Oreochromis niloticus: one gene and its partner. The protein of the gene in region 2 purifies or fractionates together with the protein of the main gene of each other region. This does not show direct contact. Links are inferred from orthologs where the notes say so. Each region holds a gene or a part of one and is shown on either strand. Other genes may lie near its edges.

Region 1 (7,139 bases), on a different chromosome or scaffold from region 2:
GACTACTGTAATTCATTATTATCAAGATGTGATTTAGTGCTATATAAATAAAATTGAACTGAATTAATACACAATCACTGTGGTGCTGCAAAATGCTAACTATGGAATGCTTGATACTGTGTATAGATATTGCTATATTCTAATGTCAATCAGCATATTAATAGTCATGTTCCTAACAGGCAAAGCTATCTTAGGGTTTCCACACACAGAGTGTACTACTTATACCTGGGTGGCCAGCCAGGTATATTATTTGCATAATCTGTAGCTAATGTTGCTATTGTGGCAGTCCTCTGTCTTTCAGTGGCCTCCCAGAAAGGATCTCATCCTGTGGTTGAGTGTATGTCAGCTCCAACTGTTTTTCTCTGGAAATCTGCTAAGCACCACACTACAATGAACCTGGGGCAGGTGGTGAAGTGATTCATGGTTACCAAGGGTAAAGAGCAAAACAAGGTCAGTTGCGGTCCAAAATGGGAGAAATTGAGTTCAGGATGAGAGATTTTCTTGAAAGGCATAGACTCAAGCACATACAAATACATCCTAGATGTGGATCTGTAGGAAACATATACATGATTTGGATGAATTTTCTTATGGTTATATCAGTGATGTGGACCTAAAGTTCCACTATGTACCAGTGGAGGTTAGAGGCTGGTGAGAGTTCAGTACTGACACTGTACACAGTATGTTTTAATTTTACATTACTCTTTTCAACTGTAAGTGATAAGAAACAGAGTCATGCTTTCTCAAGGGTACAAGATAAATATGTTACTTTGAGCAACAGGTTATTGTTGGACTTTGTTACCATTTGACACATCTGAAAGTGTGTGAAAGATTTCACTTGAAAATAGTACAACAGGCCTAAGGGATTTTTCATCTGGCCTACTGTGCTGTTAGAAAAAAACTGTTAAGACAAAACTGAAGTCCTTACTAACTAAATATGCTTCACTTTAAATAAGAGGACACTTAAATTATAACGATGACACAGTCGAGCTGAGGCAAAACTAGCAAAATACAACTTAAACATACTCGAACAAAATTAGAGGACCTCTGTTGAACCATTACTGAATGAAAATGATGTAAATATTAGTAACAAAATGTGTTTAAAAAGTATTCTTTGCTCACAAATTAGGCTTCATTAGTATTTTACTGGATGCATTAACATGTTTGCAGCATCTAAGTGCTGCAGATGACTAACATAAAATGTATCTTTTATATACTGCAATAATTCATTTTATTTTCTATCAACTATTAGGTTTTCTTTAAGTCCCTAACCTTTAAAAAAATTATTGCTGTTATTTATATGTCGTTAAATAAAAAGCACTGTGTCTTCTCTACAGTTAAACTGAAGTGAAAACTAAAAGAAAAATAAAATTACTCGCCCAGCTCTCAAGCTTAGAATTGTTCCTTACCTAATACCACAGCTGTAAGGTTAATCATGAAGGAATTACTACTAGAGGGTTGAAAGTAGTTGGAGTAATAAGTAATGAGTGAGTAGTTAGTGCATTTTCTCTGGCTGTGTTTAGTTAAAAGATAATCAGAAATATATCATAGAAAGTGTATGAGCTACTTAGAGATCATAAAAAGGAATAATGAAAATCTAAAGGATCTACTATCTAGTCAAGGATAGTGGTTCATTTTTTGAACCTCATAATCTAAATTTACACAGTCAGCACTTCATGTTCTTTTTTTGAGTAGTAAAACACGTAAGATTATTTTAACACACACACACCAGCTAACCAACTCAGTGAAAACATGATGAGGTAGCTGACTCAGGAAAATTTTAATGATAAAATAGCTGAGTAGGTGCGGCATATATCTCAAACTGTTAAGTTACAATGAAGTCCAAGTATAACCTCCACTTTGGCCGTTCTTCTTATATAAATTAGTGTTATGCAAAGTTATAACTAACTACCCAGTGACACTGACGGAAAGTAGAAAAGCAGTTTGTAAAACAGCGCAAAGATTGCGACTTTCATCAACAAATCTGGAATCGGTCTCACCTGTACCTTAAAAAAACAATCGAGTGAACTTAAAGGGAGCTAGAGTTCTTAGAAGTTAATTTTATAGGAGTTATTGGAGCATGAAATAATATGCCTGATCTGTAAGGGGCTGTATAGAAAGCACCAGGACCTGCAAAAATGTATCCATATGAGAGAAAACTAAGCTCCGCCTCTCGCTGAGCAGTTTCAGGCGATTAAATAGTAATAGCGCAATTCAGGCGGTGGAGAAGGGAATGCTTATAAAGACATCGATCCTGATTGGAAAATGTTTGCCTTGTTCTCTGCTGTGTTCTTTCTCAAATAAACATACCGGCGTATTTGCACCATTACAGAAGAAAGACTGGCTGACATCCGACACCGAGCACGAATGGCTGGAGCTACCGAGGCCCGACAAAATAGCCAGGCTGACTTTAAAGTTAATTTCTTTTCCTTTGGCTGTGACGGCTGTAAAACTGAGGGGGAAAGCAGGGGTCCGTTTGGTTACACAAGCTTTCTCATAGAGCGTGTCGCCAACACCAATTCAAAGTTTAAAGACTTCCATTGTGTTGGTTTGCCCTTGGGATATAAAAATCTAAAGTTTGACACAAGAAATCGCTGCTAGACTTAGACTGACCAAATGTGGAAAACGTTTGAGGGCAGTGAAGTGCACAAATGCACGGCAGGGTCGGACCGTGTTCACCAGTGTTCTTATCAGCTTTCGTGCTTCCACCTTTCTTGAGGATCCATGTTGTGAACAAAAAGTAAACGTACCGTCAACCGCCGACAGAAGGCAACTCCAGAGCAGCAACGCCACCAGTAGACCGCCCATTTCAAGTCCTCTGCACTTTAAATCCATAACTCCGGGTCCATTTTCTTATATTTACTCCTCAATCGAGTTGTGAAGCCCTCCACTCCTCAGTGCTCACATGTACACATATGGTCTGTGCTCCACTGTAAAGCCAGATGTGGCTGCATGCAGGAGTGTGCGCTTCTGTGTATCCTTCGCTATCGACTACATTCCCCCCCACCCCGTCCCACTTAAGGCGCTCGCGCTACTTTATACTTTGGACTCTCGAGCTCGCGCACTGAGAGAAAGGGCATGCGGGCGTGGAATTACGTCACTCAACACGAGGCTGTCCCATTTTTTATTCTTACTAATTTGACTTTTGTGTAAATGTCATAAATATCAGATGTTGGACAGCAGTTAAAGTAAACGCTGCTCTGTTGCTTTAAGGACAGACTTTTATGTCCCTGCACATGAAATTCTAAAACAAGATGTAAAGTATGACTTTTAAATGAAGTGAACCTCTGTAAAACTAGGATGAAACAAAGGAAATTCCTAGTTAAGAGGCTCCTTCCACTTGTTGTTAATGCCGAGTGGGGGGAGACACTTAAAATAACTGGGATTTCTCTGTGTGCTAATAATCCACGTCATTAAAGATGATAGCAAATGAAAAAACGAATCACAGAATTTATTAAATCTGGAAAGTCGGATATTTCAACACGAATCAGGGATGGCTGCGACATATTACAATTCTCCAAGTTAAGTTTTGCTTTCTAATAACATTCTAGGACTCTTTAGAATGCAATATTACAGTTTTGAAGTAAAATTCATCAAACAGCAGTTATTGTTTGTTGATACATAGGTCTGTCGTAAATGGCTGCAGATACAGATGAAATTCAGAGACAGGAAGAATGATATGTTTGGGAAGAATAAACATTATTAAACTATTTCTTGTACGAAATAGAATCATTTCAAAAGTAGATTTTTTTTTTTAACTGCCACACTTGATTGAAAATCAGCTGCAACTGATTTTGGAAATGAAGCTGACTTTTTTTCATAGGTTTGCAAAAAGACATGCTAGACGCAACAGGTCATTTTAACCCACACTTGCAGGATTTTTTAAATGGATTTGCCCATTTTGTTATTAATAAAATATCCAATTAATAAGTAATAAAAATCAGTAAATGTGTCTTTAGTGACAGCAACATTTACTAACAACCCTCACCCTGTCAGTCATGACAGAATATCAAGACCTTATTAAACACACTGATGTTGATACAGGATAACCATGTAACTTAAAGTAACCAAACAGCAATTCAAATTAAGCAAGAACTCCAGCTTGTTTTTGTCTGGCCTCCAGCATTTAAAAAAAAAAATCAAACTGAGTTCCAGGATGTATTGCAGCATACCTCAGTCTTCCCCAAATGTGCTTGGTTTTAAGCACAAGGGCAAGTAAGTCATGTAATCATCAACCAGTTAAAGAAGATAGTACTTATTGATATTGTTAGACTGGTGTATAACTGGTAATGTGATTTCCGTAATATTTTTAGATGAATTTTATGGAAATCACTCAATAACAAATAATCATGCAAAAAAAATTAAAAAAAATACACTGAGCCTGAGATTGTTACTTATGGCTTGGAAACATCAAATACCAATCAGGACCAAATCCTCCAGTGGTCTGTTGTAAAGCCTGCAAACAGGACTTGTAGCATTTAACCAATAAAATCCATGTTTTCAAATCACATAAAAAGTGAGTGGAAGAAGACAGTTTTTGATATGGCCCATGTTACACATCATATTTGATTACATTCAAGGTCATTGTCAAAGGAAAATTGTATATACATGTGATCAGCTACATGAAATGTATCCTTTCATTAAGCACATGTCTACGTGACTTTTCACCTAGTAACTTGTGATGAACCTATGCAGATACTAACCGCTTCCTGTTTTTAAAGAACATTTAGATGTAGAGAAGAGCTCAGCTCTGTTATGAGTAGAGAAGGGAAAAACCCGCTGCTCTGAGTGACGTTGTTACCTTGACACACACACACACACACACACACACACACACACACACACACACACACACACACACACACACACACAGACACAGAACTGTATAAATAAAAAACGCAGACAGAGATGAGACGCAGATCCTGCGTTCCATGGCTGCCCTCGCGAGTTAAAGAAAATCTGCAGTGTTTGTGTTTTCTAACTCAGGTGTCTCAGCTGAACAAAGAACGGCAGGGTGATTTAAAGAAATCCCCTGTCAGTCATGTTCATTAAAAACTCTAAAAATGAAAAATACATGTAAAAAAAAAATGCCTGTGCTATATGGTATACTGCTGTATGAAACAATCATTAGCAAATGTGACCATAACTAAAAAAAAAAAAAAAGTGTGACAATTATTTGTATTATTATCAGTTCTTGTCATTTGTACTGTGTGCTGCTGTTACCAGCCAGCCAAAGTAGAGACAGATGAAAATTGTGTGTCCCCTAAAAATGTGCTTGATTGTTGATTACATTAATTAAAAAAAAAGTCCTAAGTTGTATAGTTAAGAATTATTGTTCTTGCCCGAGCATGATACAGAGAGCATTTACTTTTGCATTTCCCTTTTTGCAAATAAGCAAGAGGAACAGGAAGAGAAGTTACTTCACTTCAAATTTTCAGTCTTTGCCAGCAATACAGTGAAATCACAAATGTGTCACGAGGGAGCAGGGAGGACTCGGCGCAGACTGAAATCACAGAAAACTGGTTTTATTTACACACTCCTGGTGCACTATACACTGGTGAAGGAGAAGGGGGCTAGGGTTCCCAGGGGTACAGGGAAAAATTGGGAAAAGTGTCCTCTCTTACTCCGCCCCACTCGGGCAGAGCGGCGCGCTTGGAAAGGTCCTTTCCTCACACACGCCACTCTCACTACGGCACTCACGAACAGGCTTAGGTGTCCAGATTTCCAAACCAAGCACGAGAAATCTGTATACAGAGAACAAGAGTTAACACGGAAAACTTTCACGAAGAGAGCTCAAAAACTGGCTGAGGCTAAAGTAGCACTGACGAGCGTTACTCAATAGTCCAGCGGCGAGGTGCTCTCAGTCACTGCCTTAAGTAGCGAGAGCAAACAAGGTGAGGAGCCACAGGTGATTGCCTACAGGTGGTGAAGGCCAGGAGCGGGAGCCCACTATGAGCTCCGCCCAGGCAGCGAGTAGAGAGAGAGGAGAGAGACAAAAACAACACATGTAGCCACACAGGGCCAGCCGAGCAGGCACGGGGACCATGACAAAATGTCCTTATGTTACACTGGAGCATTCCCCCGAAATAAATTATCATTGTCTTCCTCTGGATATCTTTAGACACAATAAACTAGAAAATTCTGTCTAATTTCATTCAGCAGTTTAAGTACAGTCAGTCAAACACACACTTTTGCACTCAGTATAGTGTTGACCAAGAAAATGCATTTAGATACATTTAAATGTGTAAAGCCTTTTATTGTTTAATACCCCAGTGTGTGCGGCGTTGTTCATCGCAATTCATTCAGTTCCATTGTTTTATGAATCAAATGTTGGATTTGGTTATTCAGTAAAATCAGTGAAGTAGACAATACATAATTTCCAGATCACACTAAAAAAAAAGGTGCAAAATCAGTTTCTTAAGTAATGTAAAAAAAAACAAACAGATAAAGGCTGTATACAGCATTATACGTTATGTGTTTATATAAATTTTCTGCAGATACTGGAAGGTTCTCTTGTGTTGTGCAGCTGTTGTTAGCTGGCATACCACAGCAAATAACATGCACTATTGTAAATGCAAAAAAATACTTACTGAAGTAGTCACTCAATAGGATATCAGCACTCACTGTTTATGAACTGTGGTCTAAATTTCATCTACAACACAAACACAAGAATCGTGGAGATTGTGTAAATGGCTCCTTCCAGTATGCTACTTGGAGTCAGGTGTTTTAATTTAGGACATGACATTGGATGTATGGGCCATAGAGGCACCCCTCCCAACAAATACAGGCATACATAGCTTAGTTACTGATAAAGTCATTCTTCTTAGTAAAATCTGGTAGATGTGAACCATGATACAATCACAATAACTTAGAATGGACCCTAAAAAAAACAAACATTATAAATATGCAGAAAGAAGCTCCAAAAGCATTTCTAAGTAGCTGACTTTTTTTGTAGTTTGAAATGATGAATAAAGAAAAGCAAACTCTCAAAGAACTTTTTTAGAGAGTTTAGAAAAGATCCTTCAAAGATTACACCAAAAGTATTACGTGCAATTCTGTGAGAGTACCCTGCCTTTCATTTAAGTGTTTGTCACACCTAAATGTTTCAGGTCTTCAAACAAATGTAAATAGTAGTAGTAGTA
Region 2 (7,211 bases):
GGCACCTGGGTTGAAGAGAGGAGATAACCGTTAACACTCATGGATCGAGTCCAGAACAAACACTCTGGAGAGCCACACAGTGCTGCGGACTTTCTGCAGGGCGACTGCAGCTGTGTCTTATTTCAGTGTGTGATCATTTGCCTCGGTCTGTTTATGCCAACGTGACTTCACGTGTTGCGTTATTTATGTGAAAAACAAACAACGTAAGGCAAATAAAGTCTGAACCGGAGGCAGCGTTTCATTTCAGCTCCGACACGTTACGAGACACAAAAGAGCAGCTGAAAAATCCACTTTTCTAAATTCAGCCTAATACAGTAATTTGTACTTTTAAGTGGAGGCTTAAGCCAATGAGATCAGAGTTTCTGAATTTGATTTATGGTCTGATCATTAGCTGACAACTGGGCCTGACGAAGAAATCCAGCTGGCAGCAATCAGCTGATAGCAAATCCAGACCAGAGGGCCATTAAACAGCTCAATCAAACCGAACGGAGGTTTGGTCTGGAAGGAAAAAGCTGGCATTCACCGTTGGCCCTCAGGAAATGTATGTGGTGATGGAAGAGTAAATAGCTGTCTGGTTATTTTAAGGCAGCGCTACAACTGTACACTTCTGAATAAACTGGACATCTGCCAGGCTGATTCGAGACAGCACACTCAGGCTGTAATCCTATATTTCAGCTGCAGCTTTTTAACAGCCGTACGCATGAGTTATTGTCCTGTGTTTTTTTTCTTTTTCTTTTTTCTTACAAGCTGCATGTTTAAAAAAAAAAAGAAAGAAATCGAGGAGGCAAAAGAACTGTTGGTTAAGAAATGATACACTCGGAGAAGGATCTGTTTTCCTCTGTGGCTTTCTTTGCAAAAAGGGCTGAACAAAGGATTTATGTGAGGTGACTTCCTTTTTTTCCCCTCTCCTCACGAGAACATGATCTAGTGTTATTCTGCGGCTGCTGGTGAAGGCGACCGCAGAAGTATACAACGCCTACAGCGTACACCGGGTGGCGGTTTGCACCAGTTACCACCATATGCCAAGACAGGTTGTCTTATTTATGAAGCACCAGGATGTGTTTTAATCCAGCCTAACATTTTCAATTCTCCACCCTAGTTTTAAAATTACTAATGAGCCTCAAATTTTCATGATTACACACTAGACTACTGTAGAGTTGCGTGAGCTGTTCCTTTCCCTCAGCTGTGGGAGACAAGCCTCTGGGGAAGACTGGAGGGAGGCCAGGCAGTGGTCACAGCCTCTTTTGTGACCCCACAGGGGGAAGGATAACTTGAAAATTAAGATATGGGTGAAGAAAATAATCCAGGAGAGTTCTGCCTTCATTAGCTGCACATTCACTGTAAAAGCAAGAGATGCATTTTCCATCCCTGCTAATAATGAATAAATTCCTGTTAAATGAGATCTTCTGGAGCTGTTGCTTGGCGTGTGATTTTTTTTCTTTTTCTACCCTTTAAGACAAGAAAATCAGTCACACTAACTCTCCTCGACTTACTACTCACTTCTTGTCAGCTGTTGCTCTTCTAATCTAATCAATCATCTCCTCTGATCTCCAAATCAAGGGGCCATAATTTAACAAAAATGTTGCACCACCCATCTCGAATCCATGAGACCAAGCATGAGATTATCCTGCATGCGCTACTTAATCAGAACACACAACCGTTACCGGCCACAGGTGGGAATCATTGTCAAAGGCAGTGTTGCATTTAAAAAGCAATTTCTAAAACCCCCCCAAAGACATCTCCCCAAAGAGCAAACTGTGGGGTTTTTTCTGTTTGGGAGACATGTTGTTGCAATCAAATAGTTATGGTGGAAGTAGAGCTTGACTAATAGTATGAAGAGAGAAGGAAACAACCTGGAAGACAATGTGAAAAAGCCCCGATGTCTCACTGACTGCTGTGTGTAGGGGAAGAAACCACAGGAATGTGCGTCTGAGCCGCTCTCATCACCCTCACCTCTGGATTAAACCAGACCTTTTACACGCTTCTTAATCAGGAAATTGATGTGATAATGAAGCAGGATGTAGAGGCAGGGTGTTTTAGGGCAATTTTTAAAAAGCCACATTAATTTGGAGAGCCTACATTTTCCACATACACTGAATATTTTTGACACAAGATTTTAAATTTTATTTTATTTTTAAGCCAAAAAAAAGTTGAATTAAAGTTTAAAATTCTTAAATGTGGAAAATATAATGAGAAATAAACTTTCCTAATTTATGTCACATTTTTGTGTATTAAGTAAAGGTTGGGTGTACAGCGCAGTTGGGTCCACGTTTATTCTTTATAAACGTGCACTAATTGAAAATGGGGACCTAAAATCAAATAAATAAACATTTATGCTCCTTCCTGCTTGTTCTCATACAAGCTGGGAATAGGTTTTATGCGATAAAATCCGAAAGTTTTCTAAATTTAAGCCTTTTAATGAGTTTTTATAAAGCTCTGACGGATGGTTAATTTTACGCACAAGAGCCTCCAATTAAGAGGTCAAATTAAATCACTCCAGCATTTAAACTTTAAGCATTGCGTCGATTTACTTATTGATCTTTACCTTCTCATTTTATTTAACTTGTAAAATTAAATATTTAACATTTGTTCTGTCATCTTTATGATACTTACTGTAGGAAACTGTGCTTGCCGCCCGTCCGCCGTTTTTTGCCCTGTTATTCATAGCGTTGCTGTTGTTGTTGTTGTTATTGTTGCTGTTGGACGGCTGTAGTATTGCCTCCAGCGGCGTCCGCGTATTTTCTCTGCGTTCTGGTAAAATCTCCGTGCCATCATTTTTTAAAACCTTCCATCCCTTCACAGCGGTGCAGCATCCCTGGAGCAGCAGGAAAGCCGAACTGGAGACGAGGAGGGCCACAGACACCTGCATGCTTGTCGGTCAGCAGGAATAAATCACACAAGGAGATTTAAAAAAAAAAAAATTTGTTAAAATAAAACACACACACACACACACATACACACACATACACAAGAGATGTCCTTCTGAACAGGCTGGTCACTTGCACTCTCAAAGCAAGAGGCGAATGCGGTATTTAAGCGCTGCGCAAGTTTTCGTCAGGGCTGACAATTAGGCGCTTACACAAAGTGGGAGGGATTGAACCTGGCCGAGAGATTCATTGAGAAAGGAGGAGGGGAGAGGTTTGGATGAATGCGCAGAGAGAGGAGAGAGCAGGAGAGGAGTAACAGAGAGAGGAGAGAGCAGGAGAGGAGTAACAGAGAGAGGAGAGAGAAGAAGAAAAGTAATAGAAAACTGAGAAGATCAAGGAAGAAGAGACCGCAGTGAAGGAAAATACAGATATGAGCAGGAGTGCTTCCATTATTTATTTACTTATTTTTAAAATAGTTAACCAGAATATTTGATCAGAAATTTAAAAAAAGAGTGTAGAGGATATTAGGGAAGATTTCCAGGCTTGTGTGCAGCCTTATGCCTTCATAGAGTACATATGTTCTATATGAAAAGTGTCTGCACAAGTGCCTGAAAATCATTTTGTCAAGTATTTAGACCATTTACTGAAGTAAAAGCCATAAGCTTACTGAAATGGTACAAACGGCTAATGTGTATTGTTTGGCCATATAGAGCAACAGTGTGGTGATATTTCCATCTACATGAAATAAAAGTAACATTTTCTTCTTTTTTTGATCTTTAAATGCTTCAAAGTACTCATTATGTTATTCAGTCATAATAATTGATTCATTAATGTACATGTCATTTTAATCACCTTTACATACAATATAATAAGTAACCAGGCTGATGTCTGCATTGGTCAGTTAAATGCTTGAGTAAAATTCTGAAGTTATGCTCTACCACTTATCCATGTTCTTATCCACTGGTGTTGGGGATTATAAGCCTAATAATTCTGGGCTGGTGCCACCCTGTGCCATTGCTCTAAACACACCCTTGGGTGTGAGATGAGACTGAAAAAGGAGAAGAGAGGGAAAGGTCAGAGGAGAGTGGAGGAAATGGGAGTAAAAAGAGTTAAGATAAGGGGGATGAAAGCCAAAGGAAAGGGTTGAAAGGACAGAGAAATAAAAAAAGAGATACTGGAGAGGAGCTTACTTATGTCAGAGAGTGTTGAGTGAGGCAGCTCATCTGCACATCGCTCTGTGCCGCTGTTGTTGTTACTGGATTTAAGTGCACCGGTGCATCTTCTCCTCCCCCTTCTTTAACAGCTTCCGCAGCATTACGTGTCTCAGAAAGCATTTTTTTTTTCAAGGGGGTTTATTTTGGACTTCATCGCAGGGTGCAACTTGTTCCACTGCTGCAGCAAACATGCGCCACACACACTCCACCCGAGACACGTTTTTACCCTGTCTTTGACTCAAGGCTGTACACAAATTAATCATTTGATCCTTCACATTAATTACCCATCATTACACGTCTCAGCAGAGACACTTAATATAACGAGATGTGAAAATCTAAAAAAGTATGAGCACAGCAACATGTGTTCTGAACACAATTTAAATGTTTGCCATGACAATCCAATATTTCATATCCACATATCTGTTTTAAATAAAATGTTATAGACTGTGAGTTCTTGGCACCCCTCATATCCCAGTGATTTGATAAGTGCTGACAGATGGAGGCTCTTCCATTCAAACACTGCCCTCTTGAGGGAGACTACACAAGTTTTGCATGACACTGTCCGGCTCTACTGATGGGTACAGGCATGCAGATCTTTGGTTTTTATCTCTTAAACTCTAAAGTGGTTCTCTTGGTCAGTATCGCATCGCTCTAACCGCTCATTGAGGCACCGATGTGCTTCCATAATCATACACACCCTCCTCATGGTCTTTCTAGTTTTATACAAGCCTCAAATGAGGGTTTGAAGCTTTGGCCAACTGGCCCATCCATCACAATTTAAAGTGGTGAACATAATGGGGATAAGATTAAATTAAATTTATTGTTAAGGAGTTTTAAATAACATCAGCCAGTCAAAAACATTTTCTTCTGAAGAGAAAGTAACAACAGAGCTTTTCATCATTTCTAAAAGCCTCGTATAGGGGCCACTCTTCTTGAGTGTCAAATCCAATTATCTTTAAAATTTGCATTTTCAGTCCAGCCTTTAGGAGCTTAACAGTCCTTTCATGTGTAAACGTTCCTGCATCAACTGTAGGTATGTAATAGTGTTGTTTTATAGCTGCTACTAGATTTGATGGAATTTAAAAAAAAAGGTCAAATGTTGGTTTAGTGAGAACAAGTTTTTTTTCTTGGGGCTAAACTAAAGCTGCATTAAAAGTAAAGTAAAAAAAACACAACACAGCAAAAACACTTAGCAGAAATGAAGATAAGAACATGGAACTTTCAAACAACAAGAGAAAACAGTCTTTAAATGGGCTAATAAGCCCTGAAAATTAAATGTAGTTAAAAAGACTTAAAAAGCACCTGGATCTGTAACTCTGTTGTTCACAATAGTGAAGCTGCTCCTTAAGCAATACTCACGTCAGAGCTGAAAAACAGTTTTTACTTTCAAAAAAAGTACATAAAGACAAATTTTGATACTTTCTGTGCAACTGCAGTACAGCTTCAAACATCATGACACATTGCTGTAAAACCACAAAACAGTTTTTACAGTAATTTAGCATTTTTTTGTGTGTGTACGGATAAATACTGTAATTGTTGACCGCCTGCTCATATGAGCTCAGCAGAACGACTCAAGTCATTCAACTCATTAATGTAGAAGTGTTGTTATGCCTGTTTTAGGTATGTCGTGTTTAGATTATGATCGTTGTGGATGTGTGGTTTGTGTGGTCTTAGCTAACAAAGGGCCATCAACACAAAGACTCCTGAAGCAAATCATCATGTCCAGACGGTGTTGTTCTAAAAGTCGGCTGTTCGAATGTTCTGTAACGCATTATTCACATGACTGTTTGATGTGATGATGGGAAATTGCACAAAAGCTGATGTCAATAAATAGTTTAAGAAGGAAAAGAAACTTGTTCAACAGCCATGATCTTACATTTTTATCTTTTTCATCAGACAATATGATAAATTTACCACATATTTGCACCAATTAACCTCAACTGTTTTGCTTACTCATAGTGCATTTCATATAGATGCATATTTGCCAGTAAAAACACAGTTATGCACTGGCTATCTCATGTGTTTGCATGGTTTCTGTTATAATTTATGATATTCATAACATGTAGGAGTTTATTCTATAAAACCCTTTTAGACTGAATGTATTTTCAGTGCATTTAAATAATATATATTTTATATTTTGGCGTGTAAATGCCCCAAAATATCAAGTGACCCAAAGATAAATTCAGAATAAAATATGCTGGGATCATTTTTATGATTGTTGAAATAAATTAAAATGTACAAAAATCAAAAGCTGTTGAGATGCCTACATTTTTTTGTAATTTTGCCAAAATCTGTAAGTAGAGGAAAATGTTTATGGCATAACCATAAACATTGATAGAAAGTGATAGTGACACATTTAAAACATAAAGAGCAACACTGCAGTGGTGTTTCTGGCCATTTCCAATTTTTACTTATATTTTCATCTTCATTGTTAAAATGCGGCACTATATTTAGCAGCCGTTTGGTGCTATCAGAAACTAAAATTCACACCTTAAAAGGGGGGAAAAAATTGTTCTTCATTTTTAAAATGTAATTTATTAAAAACATGGTTTACTTCTTAAGTGCAAACTTGTAAGAATTTGTCGAATGAATAAAAATGAGTTTGCCACACTTGGGCTAAACAGTGTTTTTATCCATGCATCCATTTTTTTTCCTGCTTATTTAATTCAGGTTCAAGGTGGGACTTGAGCGTATCCCAGCTGTCATAGGGCGAGAGGTCAGGTAAATGCTCTAGTCTGTTGTACAGAGGGGCAAACAACCATTCACATTCCAGCCTAATGTTTATGTCTTTGGACTGTGGGAGGAAGTTGGAGCACCTGAAGAGAATCTACGCAGGCGCAGGGAGAACATGAACGCTTGCTTGGACGGAGCTAAGCACTGCGCCGCCATGCCGCCAAGGTGAAATGTGTAATATAAGATTCTTCTAATGGCTACAACGGATAGAGTATAAAACTTTAGTGAAGTTTGCATCAAATTCAAAGTGTTCACTTTTTTCCAAAAATTGCAGATTGGCAGCAACGTGAAATCTGATGAACAAGAGTATTGTGAAAGATGCTAACAGGGGAGTTTGGCAGACCTATGCCAAAAATCAAAGAATCTGAACCAGAGGGTGATCTTTTGCAACAGTATC

What was found. Proteins that work in one complex are often made in the same cells at the same time.
Region 1: the proteins of sost (region 2) and lrp5 purify together in Homo sapiens (affinity purification with mass spectrometry; 3 studies listed by BioGRID and IntAct, counting the BioPlex papers as one, with this or other methods). This does not show direct contact. The link is inferred for Oreochromis niloticus from reciprocal best matches to the Homo sapiens genes SOST and LRP5.

The regions. Positions count from the first base shown.
Region 1 is NC_031972.2:39,324,635-39,331,773, forward strand, and holds the start of lrp5 (low-density lipoprotein receptor-related protein 5), read right to left. Parts: upstream 3,024-7,139; 5' UTR 2,748-3,023; intron 1-2,747. UniProt on the Homo sapiens protein: Acts as a coreceptor with members of the frizzled family of seven-transmembrane spanning receptors to transduce signal by Wnt proteins.
Region 2 is NC_031973.2:6,392,525-6,399,735, forward strand, and holds the start of sost (sclerostin), read right to left. Parts: upstream 3,077-7,211; 5' UTR 2,870-3,076; coding exon 2,614-2,869; intron 6-2,613; coding exon 1-5. UniProt on the Homo sapiens protein: Negative regulator of bone growth that acts through inhibition of Wnt signaling and bone formation.